Tamandua tetradactyla: one gene and its partner. The main gene of each other region encodes a partner of the protein of the gene in region 2 in a complex. Links are inferred from orthologs where the notes say so. Each region holds a gene or a part of one and is shown on either strand. Other genes may lie near its edges.

Region 1 (8,086 bases), on a different chromosome or scaffold from region 2:
ACCTCAAATAGTAGCCGCTGGGGTACCAGGGTGTTCCGGGACTTCTTCCAAAAATCCTGCAGCTGCCGCGCCAGGAGCGGACCCCGCGGCCCATCAGTCTGGGAACTTCCCTCTGCACGAGGACACATGTGCCCAGTCAGGTCAGCACCGGGCCAGGACCCACGTGCCCAAGTGCCAACTTATTTCACTTTATTCCCATTTTACAGAGGTGGAACTGAGGGCTAGCGGGGGGTCTGGTGCCAAACAGTGCCTGGCACATAATGGACATTAAATAATAGTCCAGTCAGCAAAGCATTCTAGCACGTTACTAATACTTTACATCCCAGGTCCTCTACTTTTAATGCCCCCAAAGACCCTCAGATGGGAGTGATTTTTTTTTCATTTGATGCAAGGGAAAACTTGGCTCAGAGAAGCGTGACGCTCTCAAGGTCACAGGACCAGAGGTGGCTGGGACACTTCAAGAAGTGGGGCTGCGGCCGGATCAGCTCCGAGCGCCGGGAGACGATGCTGCGCGGAGGCCTAGTGGGGCCCCGGTCCCGGCCCCGTCTCCCGCACTCGCCTGCGTCTTCACCCGACGCACGGCGCGCGGTGGGCAACGGGTCGGGGCCAGCGTCCTCCTCGTCGTCGTCGTCGTCCCCGAGGTCGTCGTCCTCGGCGCTGGTGAAGCTGAGGGTGCCGCTGAGGCGCGAGGACAGGCCCTCGGCGTCGTCGTCCTCCAGTTCCGAACTCTCCGGGAACTGCTCGGCCTCGGGGCCGCCCGCCGCCTCCCCGGGGCCGTCGCCGGCCAGGGCGTGCCGCAGCCGGTACAGGAGCCGGGAGGCCATGGCACCCTGGGGGGAGCACCCGGGGCTGGGTCCTCGGCCCCTGCGGGAGGTGGCCCCCAGCCCGGGCGCGGCGGAGGGGCGGGGCACTGGCCGGTGGAGGGAGGGGCGCCGCGGAGGCCCCGCCCCCGCCCGCTGGGGGTCCCGCGCGCCCCGGGCCTCCTGCCGCGCCGCCATCCCCCCGCCCGCGCAGCCTGGGCCGCGCTCCTCCGCGGAGGGTCACCGGGTCCTCCCCGCTTCTCTGCCCGCCCCGCGCGCCTCTACCTCCGGCGCCCCGCCGAGCGCCCAGGGCGCCCCGCTCCCCGGGAAGGCCCGCAACCCCGCTGTGGCTCGCCGAAACCGGCCGGGCGCCGCGGCTCCGCCGGCCCAGGCCGCTCCGAGCGCCGCTTCCTGCCGCCGCCCCGCCTCCGGCCCCGCCCGCTGCCCGGAGCCGCCCGGGAATTCCGGGCCCCGCGCCCCGGGAGGGACTTGGGAATCCGGGGCCGGCCTGGGCGAGCCTCACGCCTCGGCCGGGTTGTCCCCCAACTGGGCGGGAGCGCACCCTCCTCGAACCCTCGCACCCCTCCCAGCAGCCCTGTCCGCCCCATCTTTCCACTTCGTTGTCCCCGGAGCTCTCTAACTTTCCGAAGTCATTATGCAGCAGAGGACGCCCATTTCTCCAGTGAGGAATCCGGGCCTGGAGTGGGTGCGGGATCTGGGCTGGCGTCTGATCTGACTGTAATTTTGCAACTGGTAGCATCAGCTCAGGCGGGGATCCCAGGGCCCAGCACCAGGCAGGGGCTGACGAAATGCTCAGTTACATCATGATTTTGTTTCTACAGTGCTCACAGGCTTTCACAAGCTCATTTGAGTCTCGCATGTAGGGAGTAGGTCAAAGGGGAAACTAAGAACCAGGAAGGCCAGTCATTTGCCCAAAATTCCACAGCCTGCTAGAGATTTCTAGGTGTGGGGACTTGGAACCAGAGCCTCCTGAGCTCCGCATCCTGCTCTTCTCCCGCGCAGCAGGGCTGCTGTCATCTCAGCAGCTCCTCTGGGGCGCCGGTTTCATTTTCTCTGTGGAGGGGAAGGGTCGGTTGATAAGAATTAAGAATCATTTGAGGCTTCCTGTTAGAAGGTCTAGATGTCTGTCTCTAGCAGGGCAGGTATCTTAGTTATACGATTAAACAAAACCTCCCTGAAAGCAGTTGCAACCCTGTTGGGAGTGGGCCTGGAGAGGAGTGGCAGGGACGTGTCTGCACAGAGAGCACACTCTCTGCCCTCCCTCAAGTGGGCGGGGCAGGGTTCGCTTCTTAGGTGCCACGGCGTCCAGAGTTCAGTTGGCGGCACCTTACATGGTGTCACATTTCACCCTCACAATATCCTGGAGTCTATTACTGGACAATGATGATCCATTTTCAAGATGAAGAAACCAAGGCAACTTGACTTTCCCAAGGTCCACAGCTAGGAAATAGGGGAACAAATCCATGTAATTTCAAAGCTCCTCCTGCTCTTTATGCCAATAAATAAACATTGGCTGAATATTACCTTGCACTTTGATAAATGCCTCAAAAGACCGAGTACAAATAGTGTTCATAAAACCATGGCTGTCAGAGTGTGCTGGCTTGAAGCTGTGATGTACCCCAGAAAAGGCCATAATCTTTTAGTTCCTTCCTGCGGGTGTGAGCCCTTTGTGGTGGCACCTTCTGATTAGGTTATTTCAATTGAGATGTGACCCACCCAATTCAAGGAGGAGGGTACTTAATCCTCTATTGGAGTCCTTTATGAGAGGATAAAAGGCAGAAAAAGCCAGAGGGCTCAGAGTAGAACACCCAAAGAGAGCTCAGAGTGGAACGAGAACCGGAGAAGTTCAGGGAAGAGGCTGCTGGAACCAGAAGCTGAAAGCAAGGGGACCTGGGAGCAAAGGAGGCAGCAGATGCCAGCCATGTGTGTGCCCATGTGGCAGAGGGGTCCCAGATGCCAGTGGCCTGTCTTTGGAGTCCAGGTATCATTCTGTTACTGCCTTAATTTGGACATTTTCAGGGCCTTAGAACTGTAAATTTATCAACTAATAAATCCCCGTTGTAAAAGCCAACCCACTTCTGATATATTGCATCCCCGCAGCTTTAGCAAACTGGAGCCCAGAGCCAAAAGGGTCTCTCAAAAATCTGGCCTATTGCTTCCATTTTATAGTTGGGAAGTCTGAGGCTTAGTGAGGGGAATGGACTTACCCATACAACAGGTCTTCTGATCCACAACTTTGAATTCCCCAAAACTCTTAGACTGCATATGCCATCTCCTTACAACCTCCCTGCGAGATAGTTACCTAACTCCTGCTTGAAAACATCCAGTGACAGGGAGCTCATTTCCTTATAAAGCTGCTGGTTCCCGTGATTGTTATTTAGTCCTTCCTTTTATTGAATCAGATCCCAGTCATTTCAGCTATGTATGTATTGAATGCCTGCTAAGTGGCAAGTGCTAGGCCCTGGAGGATGCAGTGGTGAACAGGAAACAGTGTCTGGTCAGGGTGATACAGAACACATTGTGATCATACAGCATGCTCAGTGCTGTGATTCAAGAAACTACTGGAGACCTCTCTGAAGTCCCCTGACCTGAGAATAGGGGAGGGGGGATCCTGGAGCAAGAGATGTTAAAGCTGAAAAAGATAGTAGGGAAGTAGGCAGGCAAAGAGAGGGAAGAAGGGGTTCCTGGTAGAAAAAAACAACATGCACAAGGGCATGGAGGTTCTAAAGGGTGATATTTGGGGGAGTATTTAAGTCTGATCACAGCAGAGCAGCATTCAAGGTGGAGAGAGGAGGAAGGAGTAAGATCAGAGGGGTAGATGGGACCCTGCTTGCCACACTGAGGAATTTGACTTTATTTCTCTGAATGAAAGAACACACAAATGAACAAACAATCTCTGCAGGTTCACAACCTCTGTTTCCAAGTATTTTGTGTCCAAACTGGAGGCCCCTAGGTGTTGCCCCTTGGCCCTTTGCCTGGCTGGGGGAGGTCCTTTTTTGCCTGACCTGGTTCTGCTGAGCTTTCCTTGGGAATGTCTATATATAGGGAAAGGAGGCAGCCCAGTTGTCACTGTCCATCTGCCTTCCCTGCTGTGCAGCACCCCCTCCCTGGCCCCAGGACCCATGCCCTACCAGCTTGGTGCGCTTTCTATTGATTTAGCCACTGTCCAGGAGCCTGGCCTACCCCAAAATGCCCAGCCTGGAACCTGAGGATTCTTGGGTGGTCTCTCTTCAGACTAGAGCTGCCCACTTCATTCACTCTCCAGATGGCCAGCTGAGCTCTTCCAGATACCTTCATGGAGCTCTAGGAGGAGGTCAGCTGCCCCTTCAACTATAGAGAAACTTTCCCTGGGACCACCCATTCCCCCACCACCCCACCCACCAAAAAAAACCCAAAATCAAAACCAAAGTGAATCCCAAACACCCTTTTCCTGGAGGAGACAGGCTGTCTGCTCTCTATGCTTATCTTATTTACAGCCCCCTTCATGACCCCTTCCAAATGCCCCCATCATCTCCCCCTCCCCCTCCTCCCCCTCTGCCCAGGACCATCTGTCCCAGGTTATCCCTGTCAGGATTAATAATAAGAATCACCAACATGCATACAGATGCTTATGGTTTCCAAAGCACTTCAGGAAAATGGGGATAATAATAGTTACTACCTCATGGGATGAAAACTAGCTGAGCTCATATGGTTTAAATGCTCAGTGTGTGGCAAGTCATAAAGGTTCAACAAACTGGTCATAGCTGTCTACCAAGGTTTAAAGACAGGACTTGCCTGCCATGTACCTGGCACAGGCTAGGTGGCATATCTGGGCTCCTGTTTATAGCGATCTCTCTGTAAGGGAGGTTATGACTATCCCCATCTCATAGATGAGAAGACTGAGGCTCAGAGAGGCATTGCCACCTGCACAGTGTCACACAGCTCACAGAGGCAGGACTTTGGATCTTGGGTTTTGGACAGCATAGCTGTGCTCTGCCTACTCTATCTCCCCTGCTGCCCCATTTTCCTCTGTTCTGATTGTCGGTACCCATCTTGGCACAAGTGTGCCTCCTGAGCCGGGGCTCCCTGAGGCAGGGAGCAGGGAAAGTCCTCCTCACAAGAATCTAGGACGCCAAGGCCTGCCACCTGCTCAGAGGCTTAAATTTCTCTGCAAGGGCCCTTGGCTAAATTAGGTAATGGGCTAGGATTCTGGGAGGGGTGGGGCTCGCTGACCCCAGAATCTGATTGGCCAGGCTAACCAGTCCTGGGGAGCAGGAAGGCGGGAGGGGAAGGGGCCCCTACAAATCCCGGGGGCTGGAGAGGGCTGGGGCATCCTCGGGTGGTGGTGTGCAGAGGAGGTGACACGCAGCTGAGGATCCCAAGCCAACGACAATCATGGTAAGGGTAAGGATGGACTTCGTTCTCTCCCTTGCTGGAGCACTTCTGGGCCTCTCCCAGGCCAGACCGGGTGTGCAGGATGCGGGTCAGTAAGTCGGAGTTTTACAGTTGCGGTGTGAAGTGTCCTGGAAGCCAGGGGTCTTGGGGGAAGGCTGGGAAGAAGGCCTTCTACTTCTCTTGGAAGGGGAAGGTTGGGATGTTCCATGGGTTGATGCTCAAGGCTTGCCGATTCCTTCCAGGCCTTGGGACTCCCAGCACTGTCAGTCACAGAGCTGTGAGGGGTCTTCACTTATCTCCCTCACGGTAGAGTTGGGGACCCTGAGACCCACAGCAGGTTGACTAAGGTCCCAGTGAGAGAGTGGCAGGAGTGGGCCTCAAGCCTGGCCAAACCTTCCAACTGTCCATGGTAGGAAAAGCTTCTCCAGAAGATTGGGTGCCTGCAGCCAGCTTAGGTGCAGGGCTCCAGAGCCTCGAGAGTGATGGGAAAAGGCAGAAGACGACAGACCAGACTTGGGAAGACCGCAGCCTCCCAGAAAGGGGCTCTGATTTGGGACTGTCATTTTCTCCTGAGACCCCCACCCCCACCCCACTTCACTTCAAGGAGTAACTAGACCCCAGAGACCAGCTGCTATTGCCCTTGCCTGATTAAAAATAGCCTGCCCTTCTGGCACCGGAAAGAAGGGTGGCAGGAGGGGGGGCAAGGGGGAGGCAGTGGCTGAAGAACTCCTTGGACATCTCAGCCCTTCCTCGCTGCCAAGCATCAGTCCAATGGCCCCTCCTTCCATGAAGCCTCCACAGATGGTCCGGCTGGGATATGACCGGAAAGCTCTACGGCAATCTTACTCTCGCCCTCTCAAGGCCACCAGCACCTTTTACCTAGCATGAGAGTGTTTACTGGGATGACTAAGTCCTAAGAACCTTACCATTTGGAGCCCTGCCTTCCACCTCTGCAAGTTCTCTGAGGGGAGGGATGATGAGTCCAGGTCTTCTGGGTCCGTGTATGGCCTGTGGCCTGGCACAGTACATGCCCACTAGCTTTGTGTTGCGTCATCATTTACTGAGCACCGCCTGAAGTAGGACCGCATTATCAGGTGCTAGGAAAAATCACGCTGGAATGATGCTTTCTGAAGCCCTTTCACACCCGTAATTTCATCTCAATCTAGAGAAAAAATGAGGGTACACTAAGTGACTTGCCCAAGGTCAGTGGGGGTTGTCGACTGGCCTTCAGACTGATAAACGAGGAGATCTTGGACATAACCTGTGTCTGCCCCTGAGTTCTTTTCAACTGGGGTGGATGCTGTGGGGCCAGGCAGCAGCTCGGCAAGTGTGGACCCGGTTTTCCTGAGGCCCCAGGAGTACTCACAGAAACTGGGGGTGGCGGGAAGAGGGTGAAGGCAAGAATCCGCCCGAGGGCTTGCTTCCCCTGCATCCTGACTCCCCGTGTCTTCTGCAGACGGACCAGCAGGCTGAGGCCCGGTCCTATCTCAGCGAGGAGATGATTGCTGGTGAGTGGGCGGGGGGCACCGGGTGTGGGGGTGCGTGGGCAGGTGGGAGGGTGGCTGTGGGGCTGGCAGGCTCGCCAGCTCGCCGCAGCCTTGGACGCCTACTCTCCGGGCAGAGTTCAAGGCCGCCTTCGACATGTTCGATGCCGATGGCGGCGGGGACATCAGCGTCAAGGAGCTGGGCACGGTGATGAGGATGCTGGGCCAGACGCCCACCAAGGAGGAGCTGGACGCCATCATCGAGGAGGTGGACGAGGACGGTGAGTGCAGGCCCCGGGTCGGCGGGGTGGGGCACGGCGAGGAGGGGCGGCGTCCGGGGCTCCGGCTCAGGCGGCCGCCCCGCGTCCTCAGGCAGCGGCACCATCGACTTTGAGGAGTTCCTGGTCATGATGGTGCGCCAGATGAAAGAGGACGCCAAGGGCAAGAGCGAGGAGGAGCTGGCGGAGTGCTTCCGCATCTTCGACAGGTGCGCAGGGCGCGGGGGGAGGGGCCTGGGGGCGAGTCCCCGGGAGGGAGGGGCCGCGGGAAGGGGCCGAGGAGCGCGGCCGGGGCGACGTGCTGCCGCTCCGCCCCAAGGAACGCCGACGGCTACATCGACGCCGAGGAGCTGGCCGAGATTTTCAGGGCGTCCGGGGAGCACGTGACGGACGAGGAGCTCGAATCCCTAATGAAGGACGGGGACAAGAACAACGACGGCCGCATCGACTTCGACGGTGAGGGCCGCGGGAGCCAAGTCGAGGGGGGCGCATGCGCGGGGGGCGCACACGCGCGCGCTGGCTTTGTGGGCGGGGCCGGTCGGAGCCCGACCGAGGCCCCTCCCCCTTGCGGGCGGGTCGGGCGTGCGGGAGCGTTTGTGCGGTTTGTTAGTTAGTACCGGGGTGGCCCCTCCGCGTGGCCCGAGGCCTGGCCGGCCCGCGCTCGGCCCCTGCCGCAGTTCTCCGCGTCGCGAGTGGGTAATCCCTGATGCCCTCTCCCGCTCCCTCCCTGCAGAGTTCCTGAAGATGATGGAGGGTGTGCAGTAAGGAGTCGGCCCGCGCCCCCGCCGACACCGCGTGTCCCTGGCCGTAGGCGGCTCGGCCGCAGCCGCGCCCAGTCCCCGGCCCCGGCAGGGAGGCGCTGCGCCTTCTGGGTCTGCGTCCGGCAGGAATAAACGCAAACATTGCAAAGCGCGTGGCCTGAGTGAGGGGGACCGGGGACGTCTCCCCGGCGAGGCGGCGGGAGCGGCGGGATGCGGGAGGGCGTGGGGCCGTGCTCGCCAGTTCACGGCCGGCTGCGGGCCTTTGGCGCTGGGCGTGGGCCGCTCGGAGGCCGCGGGGGGCTTCCCGCCGAGTCCCGCAAGCTGGCAGCCCGAGGAGGGTGCAGGCGCGGCAGGACCGCGGGGTGACT
Region 2 (6,612 bases):
CCCAGGTGCAGCCAGATGTGGATGGCCTAGAGCCCGGCCTGGGGGGCCTCCAGCAGTGGGGGCGCCTGCAGCTGTCCCTGGAGTACCAGCCTGCGAGCCAGGAGGTGAGGGCCCACTCTGCCACACTGCTGGCGGTTGGGGAGGGCGGGCTGGGGCAGGGGGCACCTCCGCTGAGACCCCCCCGTTTCTCCCAGGTCAGGGTGGGCCTGAAGCAGGCGACTGGCCTGCAGGCCCCAGGCTCCGGCCACACGGCTGACCCCTACGCTCGCGTCAGCCTGTGCCCCCCGGCTGGCCCCAGCCACGAGACGCGTGTGCACCGAGGCACGCTCAGCCCGGTGTTCGAAGAGACCTGCAGCTTCCAGGTGGGGCGCGGCCGGCGGGGGCAGCGGCCAGGCCCGGGCAGGGAACCCCGCTGACCCCCCGCACCGGCCCCGCAGGTCCCTCCGACCGCGCTGCCCCGGACCGTGCTGCTGGTGCAGCTCCTGGCCTCCCGGCGCTTCTCCGCGCACACGCCGCTGGCCGAGCTGCGCCTGCCCCTGGCCTCGGTGGACCTGCGGCACGTCCTGGAGCGCTGGCACGAGCTGGGCCCACCGGGCACCGTCGAGGTGAGGCCACGGGGGCCCGGGGGAGGCAGAGCAGGCAGGGGGCCCGGGCCGCGCGGTGGAGCCCCCCGCGCTGAGACCCCCTCGTGCCCCTGGCAGCCGGAGCCGAGCGGCGAGCTGTGCTTCTCGCTGAGGTACGTGCCCAGCGCGGGCCGGCTGACCGTGCTGGTGCTGGAGGCCCGCGGCCTGGGCCCGGGGCTGGCAGGTGAGGCCCGTGCAGCCCGTGGGGTGGGCAGAGGCCCCAGCACCCTGCGCCAGCTTCTGACCCAGTGCCCCCCGCCCCTCCGTGCCCGCCCAGCGCCCTATGTGAAGGTCCAGCTGCTGCTGAACCAGAGGCCCTGGAAGAAGCGGAGAACGTCCGCCAGGAGGGCCACGGCCGCCCCCTACTTCAATGAGGCCTTTGCCTTCCGCGTGCCCGTCGCCCAGCTCCAGGTGGGCCCCGGGGAGGCGGGCGGGCGGGGGCCACGGCCCGGGCCGAGCTGATGGCCGCCTCCTCACAGGGCGTGGACTTGGTGCTGGCCGTGTGCGCCCGTGGCCCGCAGCTCCGGACCGAGCCCGTGGGGAAAGTGCTGCTGGGTGCCCGTGCCTCCGGCCAGCCCCTGCAACACTGGGCCGACATGCTGGCCCACGCCCGGCGCCCCAGCACCCAGTGGCACCGCCTGCGGCCCCCCAGCGAGGTAGACCGGGTCCTCGGCCTGAGGCCCCGCGGGCGCCTCCCCTTGCCCCGCTCCTGAGAGCACCCAAGCCTCAGTTTCCCCTGCCAGGCCTGGCGGACCTGGTCGAATAAACGCCATCTCCGGCTGCCTCCACTGCCTGTCCTTCCTGAGCCCTGGGGGACAATACAGAATTGAGGAGGGGGCTCCCTGCAAGAACAGCCCCCTCCCAAGGGCAGGGAGGTTCTCCCTTCCAGGCTGAGTCTGCCCTGGGGCTTCTATCTCAGGCCTGACCCTGGGGTGGGGGCCGCAAAGTCCCCAGACCCTTCTCTGCCCCTTCCGGGCATGTCTGCAGGGTCTGGAGAGGCAGGCACGGCCCTGGGAGGGGGTGGGATGCCGCGAAGACGCGGGGACAAGGGGGCGGCGGCGGCGGTGGGGGGTGGTGGCGGAGGGAGGGCCCCCCCACCCAGGCGCCTGGGCCCCGCGCAGGCAGCAGGGGGCAGTAGAGGCCTTCGGAAGCGGCGCGGGGGCCCGGGGGCCGAGGCCTCCTAATCCCGCACATCTGGAAGCTTTAGGGTTTGCAGAGCCTCCTGCGCCCGCCGCCTCGGATCCTGCCTACGCCCCAGAAGCCCCGAGCCGGCAGGGCGGGCCGCGCCGCAGCGCGCAGACGGTGCCAAGTCACGCAGGCGGGGGGCGGTGGCGCGGGCCCCGGGGTCAGGGAGAGGTTCCCCGTGCTCCCAGGCTCGGAGGACGTGTCCCGAGCCGCCCAGGTGTGGGGCCGAGGCTGGGCGTACCGAGCACGGCTGGGGAGGGGGCTCAGCAGGCATGTCTGGGGGCCTGGCCCCTGCTCCCAGGGCGGGCAGGTGATATCAGCCCCCCGCCGGGGCCCCAGGCCCGAGGCCGCGTTTGGGGGTCCAGCCTGGGAGCTGGGCTTGGAGAAGGGGTCGCCGGCCAGCTGTGCTGCGGGGCTCGGTGGGCTGTGGTGGAACATAACCCATTGAGGGCCCAGGCTTTGGGGGGCGGGCCCCCCAGGACAACACGCCACCGGGAGTCCCCTGCCATGGGCCGGACAGAGGCCATGGGGCAAAGTGTGATCGGGACCCCGAGTGAGGGTGGACAGGGCTGACTTGGGGCGAGGCTGTGCGGCCCCACGTGTGTCCAGCCTCGGCGAGGTGGCCAGCAAAGCCACGTGCGCCGTGTCCCCAGGCTCCTTGGAGAACAGCGAAGGCTCCTCGGACTCGTCACTGGGCCCTAAATAGCTCTGCTCGCCTCGGCTCCCCCCACCAAGACTTCTTGGATGGGGTGGCAGCACGTGGCCAGCCCGCGGCCCGGGCAGCTGGGGGGCCGCGCGCCGGCTCTCTCTGTCCCCATTGGCCTGGGGCAGCTACATGCCCTTTCCGAGCGGGGGCCTGGCTGGGGGGAGGCCATTTATACCCTCCCCGGCCCCCCAGCCCACTCGCCACCGCCAGACCTTGCTCCCAGCTCTGCAGCACAGGCTCTCGGTGAGGCCCTGCCCGGCCGGTCAGGCCAGGCCGCGGGCGGCACTCAGGCGGGCCTGCAGGAGGACGCCCTGGGTGGGGGCCTGGGGGCCGCGGCCAGCAGCCCCTCAGGGGGCTCCCACAGAGTGGGACGCAGGGGGAAGAGACACCTGGGGATGCTGGCGGGGCGGGGCAGGGGTCCGGGCAGCCCCTGGTGGTCTGATCTCACTTCTGGGGACACTGGTTTTGAGGGTCGAGGGACCCCAAGAGCTGGGCCCCCAAGCTGAATCGGGGAGCAAGTTTCTTGTACTTCGGCCGGTAGCCAAGGAAGCGGGGTTAAAAATATCTGTTGCTCGGCGGCCACCTGTGCTGGCCCCCCCCCCGGGTGCCCCCGCCACACCCCCCTCGGAGACAGCTGCAGCTCCTCCAGGCCCTGCCCTGGGCATCTCGGGAGCACTTTCTCCTCTTACCCCCCACCCCGGGGAATTCCAAGACATCCCCCTCTGCAGAGGGAGCGAGGAGGGGGAGCACGGGGTGGGAAGGGGGGCAGCGGCACCCCCTCACTGCTGGCCTGGCGGCTGTACCCTTGTGGCCTGACACCCCTGCCTTTCTCTCCACACAGGATCTGAGCTCACGATCTCAGGATGGGGGAGTAAGTGGGGTGCCCAGCGCGATGCCCGGGGGTGGGGTCTCTGCATCTCCCCAGCAGCTACCCCTGCCCACCCCACCCTCTCCCAGCCCACCCTCTCCTGCTCCCCACCGGCCTGGCCTGACCCGATCTTTCCCTTCTCTCCTCTCCTTCTCTTACCCCGACCTCGCCGGACAGTGAGGAGGTGAGTACCTGGTTGGAGAAGGGGAGTGAGAGGTGGGGGGGCGCTGGGACCCCAACTCCGTGGAGGTCAGAGGTCAGAGCTTCAAGTCTTTGATGCACAGAGACGAAGCCAGCCTCCCCCCACCGGCCCTGACGGGACAGAGGAAGTGGCAGCCTGGGCCTTCCTGGGCAGGGAAAGTGGGGGCTGTGGCCCGGCTTCTCAGAAGGAATCGCACCCCCCCAGGCCCTGCAAGGGTCACCCCTCCCCTGTGCCTCACCTGCCTTTCCCACCCCCACCCCCCAAGTTCTTAGGACCTGGCTGTCCGTCCTAGACGGGGTCAGCAGGCCAGGCCTGTGCCCTGGAGGTCCTGGCTGGTCCTCCAGCTCAGCCGGCCCCCCATGGAGCCCCTGACCCTGCTTCCCGCCCCCTGACCCCCCACAGAAACGCAACAGGGCCATCACGGCCAGGAGGCAGCACCTGAAGGTAAGAGTGGGCTTGGGGAGGGGGCCGGGGCCTGCGGGAGGGACTGCAGCCCTCACGGCGCCCCCCACCCCACCCCGCAGAGCGTCATGCTGCAGATCGCCGCCACGGAGCTGGAGAAGGAGGAGGGCCGCCGGGAGACCGAGAAGCAGAACTACCTGGCCGAGCACTGCCCCTCCCTGCACATCCCCGGCTCCATGTCCGAAGTGCAGGTACCCCGCCCCGCGCCCAGCCCCGCGCCGCCACCACCTTCCGGCCCACTGCCTCGGTTTCCCCACCTGCCAAGGGGCAGCGCCAAGCAGGTGGCCAGAGGCTGGGGCCGGTCAGGGCCAGGGTCAGGGCCCACCCCCTGGTCTCCCACCCCAGGAGCTCTGCAAACAGCTGCACGCCAAGATCGACGCCGCCGAGGAGGAGAAGTACGACATGGAGATGAGGGTCCAAAAGAGCACCAAGGAGGTGAGGCGCGGGCAGGGGCAGGGGCGGGGGCGGGGGGTCACGGGGCGCTGGACTCAGCTCCCCCCGCCCCCCGCAGCTGGAGGACATGAACCAGAAGCTGTTTGACCTGCGCGGCAAGTTCAAGAGGCCCCCACTGCGGCGCGTGCGCATGTCGGCCGACGCCATGCTCAAGGCCCTGCTGGGTTCAAAGCACAAGGTGTGCATGGACCTGCGGGCTAACCTGAAGCAGGTCAAGAAGGAGGACACCGAGAAGGTGCGTCCGCCGGCGCCGCCGGGGCCCAGGCCTCTCACCTGGGGCTGACCCCTCTCACCTGGGGCTGACCCCCTCCCACCTGGAGCTGACCCCCTCTCACCTGGGGCTGACCCCTCCCACCTGGGGCTGACCCCTCTCACCTGGGGCTGACCCCTCTCACCTGGGGCTGACCTCCTCTCACCTGGGGCTGACCCCTCCCACTTGGGGCTGACCCCCTCTCACCTGGGACTGATCCCCTCTCACCTGGGGCTGACCTCCTCTCACCTGGGGCTGACCCCCTCTCACCTGGGGCTGACCTCCTCTCACCTGGGGCTGACCCCTTCCCACCTGGGGCTGACCCCCTCTCACCTGGGGCTGACTCCTCTCACCTGGGGCTGATCCTTCCACCTGGGGCTGACCCCCTCTCACCTGGAGCTGACCCCCTCTCACCTGGGACTGACCCCCTCTCACCTGGGACTGACCCCCTCTCACCTGGGGCTGACCTCCTCTCACCTGGGGCTGACCCCTTCCCACCTGGGGCTGACCCCCTCTCACCTGGAGCTGACCCCCTCTCACCTGGGACTGACCCCCTCTCACCTGGGACTGACCCCCTCTCACCTGGGGCTGACCTCCTCTCACCTGGGGCTGACCCCTTCCCACCTGGGGCTGACCCCCTCTCACCTGGGGCTGACTCCTCTCACCTGGGGCTGATCCTTCCACCTGGGGCTGACCCCCTCTCACCTGGAGCTGACCCCCTCTCACCTGGGGCTGACCCCTCTCACCTGGGACTGACCCCTCTCACCTGGGGCTGACCCCTCTCACCTGGGGCTGACCCCCTCTCACCTGGGACTGACGTCCTCTCACCTGGGGCTGATCCCCCCCCACCTGGGACTGACCCCTCTCACCTGGGGCTGACCTCCTCTCACCTGGGGCTGACCCCTCTCACCTGGGGCTGATCCTTCCACCTGGGACTGACCCCTCTCACCTGGGACTGACCCCTCTCACCTGGGACTGACCTCCTCTCACCTGGGGCTGATCCCCCCCACCTGGGACTGATCCCCCCCACCTGGGGCTGACCCCGTCTCACCTGGACCTCACTCCTCCCTCTCACCCTGCCTGGCCCCTGCTGGCTGAGCCCCCCGTGGGGTGGGGTCCTGAGTCGCCCCCCGTCGCCCCCAGGAGCGGGACCTGCGTGACGTGGGCGACTGGAGGAAGAACATCGAGGAGAAGTCGGGCATGGAGGGCAGGAAGAAGATGTTCGAGACAGAGTCCTAGGCCCCCTGTCTCCACCCCGCTCCCCGGGCACACGGCGGGCAGGGGCCTGCGGCGCCCACGGAGTGGCAGGGGTATCACCCCAAAAGTCAATAAAGGATGCGAACCCATGGCTGGTCCCTCGCTGCCCACAGTCCCCGCCTGCCCTCAGGGCACCCTTGCCGGCCCTGACTCCTCAGCCTGGCGCCCTGGGTGTCAGGCCTGGGCAGGCGTCAGACGCTGATCTGAGCACGGGGCAGTGCCACGCCAGGGAGGCCCCCCCATGTGGGCTGGGACTGGACAAGCCGCCGGGTCCAGGGGCGCCCAGGAAGACCCTGCAGGTGGAGCCTGCCCCTGGCTGCACCGAGCTGCAGGGGGACCCCTTCAGGCCGTGTCCACCGTGTCCTCGGCAAGGTAGCCATGGGAGGGGCTGGTGGCGTGTACCCGGCGGGCTTCCCCAGGTGAGCCCTTTGTCCATTTGCCCTGTCCATTGCCACAGGGCACAGCCCCAGGAGGCCCCAGCTGGGCGGGAGATGGCCACACGCTCCCACGATACAGGGTCCCCAGCCCCCTGCCCCCAGGCTGCTCCCCCGGGATGCAGTCAGAGGCCGGCAGCCACGTCAATGCCCCCAGCTGGAGCCCCATGCG

Evidence for each region.
Region 1: the proteins of TNNI2 (region 2) and TNNC2 are in contact, whole or in part, in a crystal structure (PDB 1A2X), measured with the Oryctolagus cuniculus proteins. The link is inferred for Tamandua tetradactyla from reciprocal best matches to the Homo sapiens genes TNNI2 and TNNC2. Residues at the interface, in NP_001076252.1 of Oryctolagus cuniculus: Glu5, Asn8, Arg9, Ile11, Thr12, Arg14, Arg15, Gln16, His17, Leu18, Lys19, Ser20, Val21, Met22, Leu23, Ile25, Ala26, Glu29, Leu30, Glu33; in NP_001076114.1 of Oryctolagus cuniculus: Ser13, Glu15, Met16, Ala18, Glu19, Ala22, Lys91, Leu96, Glu98, Cys99, Arg101, Ile102, Phe103, Arg105, Ile119, Phe120, Ala122, Ser123, Glu125, His126, Val127, Glu131, Ser134, Leu135, Asp138, Phe152, Met155, Met156, Val159, Gln160.

What each region holds. Positions count from the first base shown.
Region 1 is NC_135327.1:6,387,350-6,395,435, forward strand, and holds TNNC2 (troponin C, skeletal muscle), read left to right. Parts: upstream 1-5,083; 5' UTR 5,084-5,195; coding exon 5,196-5,204; intron 5,205-6,651; coding exon 6,652-6,703; intron 6,704-6,816; coding exon 6,817-6,960; intron 6,961-7,051; coding exon 7,052-7,166; intron 7,167-7,276; coding exon 7,277-7,413; intron 7,414-7,690; coding exon 7,691-7,722; 3' UTR 7,723-7,866; downstream 7,867-8,086. Other genes in the region: SNX21 (sorting nexin-21), read right to left, coding at 1-112, 560-824. UniProt on the Homo sapiens protein: Troponin is the central regulatory protein of striated muscle contraction. Tn consists of three components: Tn-I which is the inhibitor of actomyosin ATPase, Tn-T which contains the binding site for tropomyosin and Tn-C.
Region 2 is NC_135335.1:1,875,994-1,882,605, forward strand, and holds TNNI2 (troponin I, fast skeletal muscle), read left to right. Parts: upstream 1-3,896; 5' UTR 3,897-4,028; intron 4,029-4,108; 5' UTR 4,109-4,114; coding exon 4,115-4,237; intron 4,238-4,391; coding exon 4,392-4,481; intron 4,482-4,557; coding exon 4,558-4,734; intron 4,735-5,892; coding exon 5,893-5,988; 3' UTR 5,989-6,095; downstream 6,096-6,612. Other genes in the region: SYT8 (synaptotagmin-8), read left to right, coding at 6-104, 195-362, 438-605, 702-807, 901-1,034, 1,103-1,336. UniProt on the Homo sapiens protein: Troponin I is the inhibitory subunit of troponin, the thin filament regulatory complex which confers calcium-sensitivity to striated muscle actomyosin ATPase activity.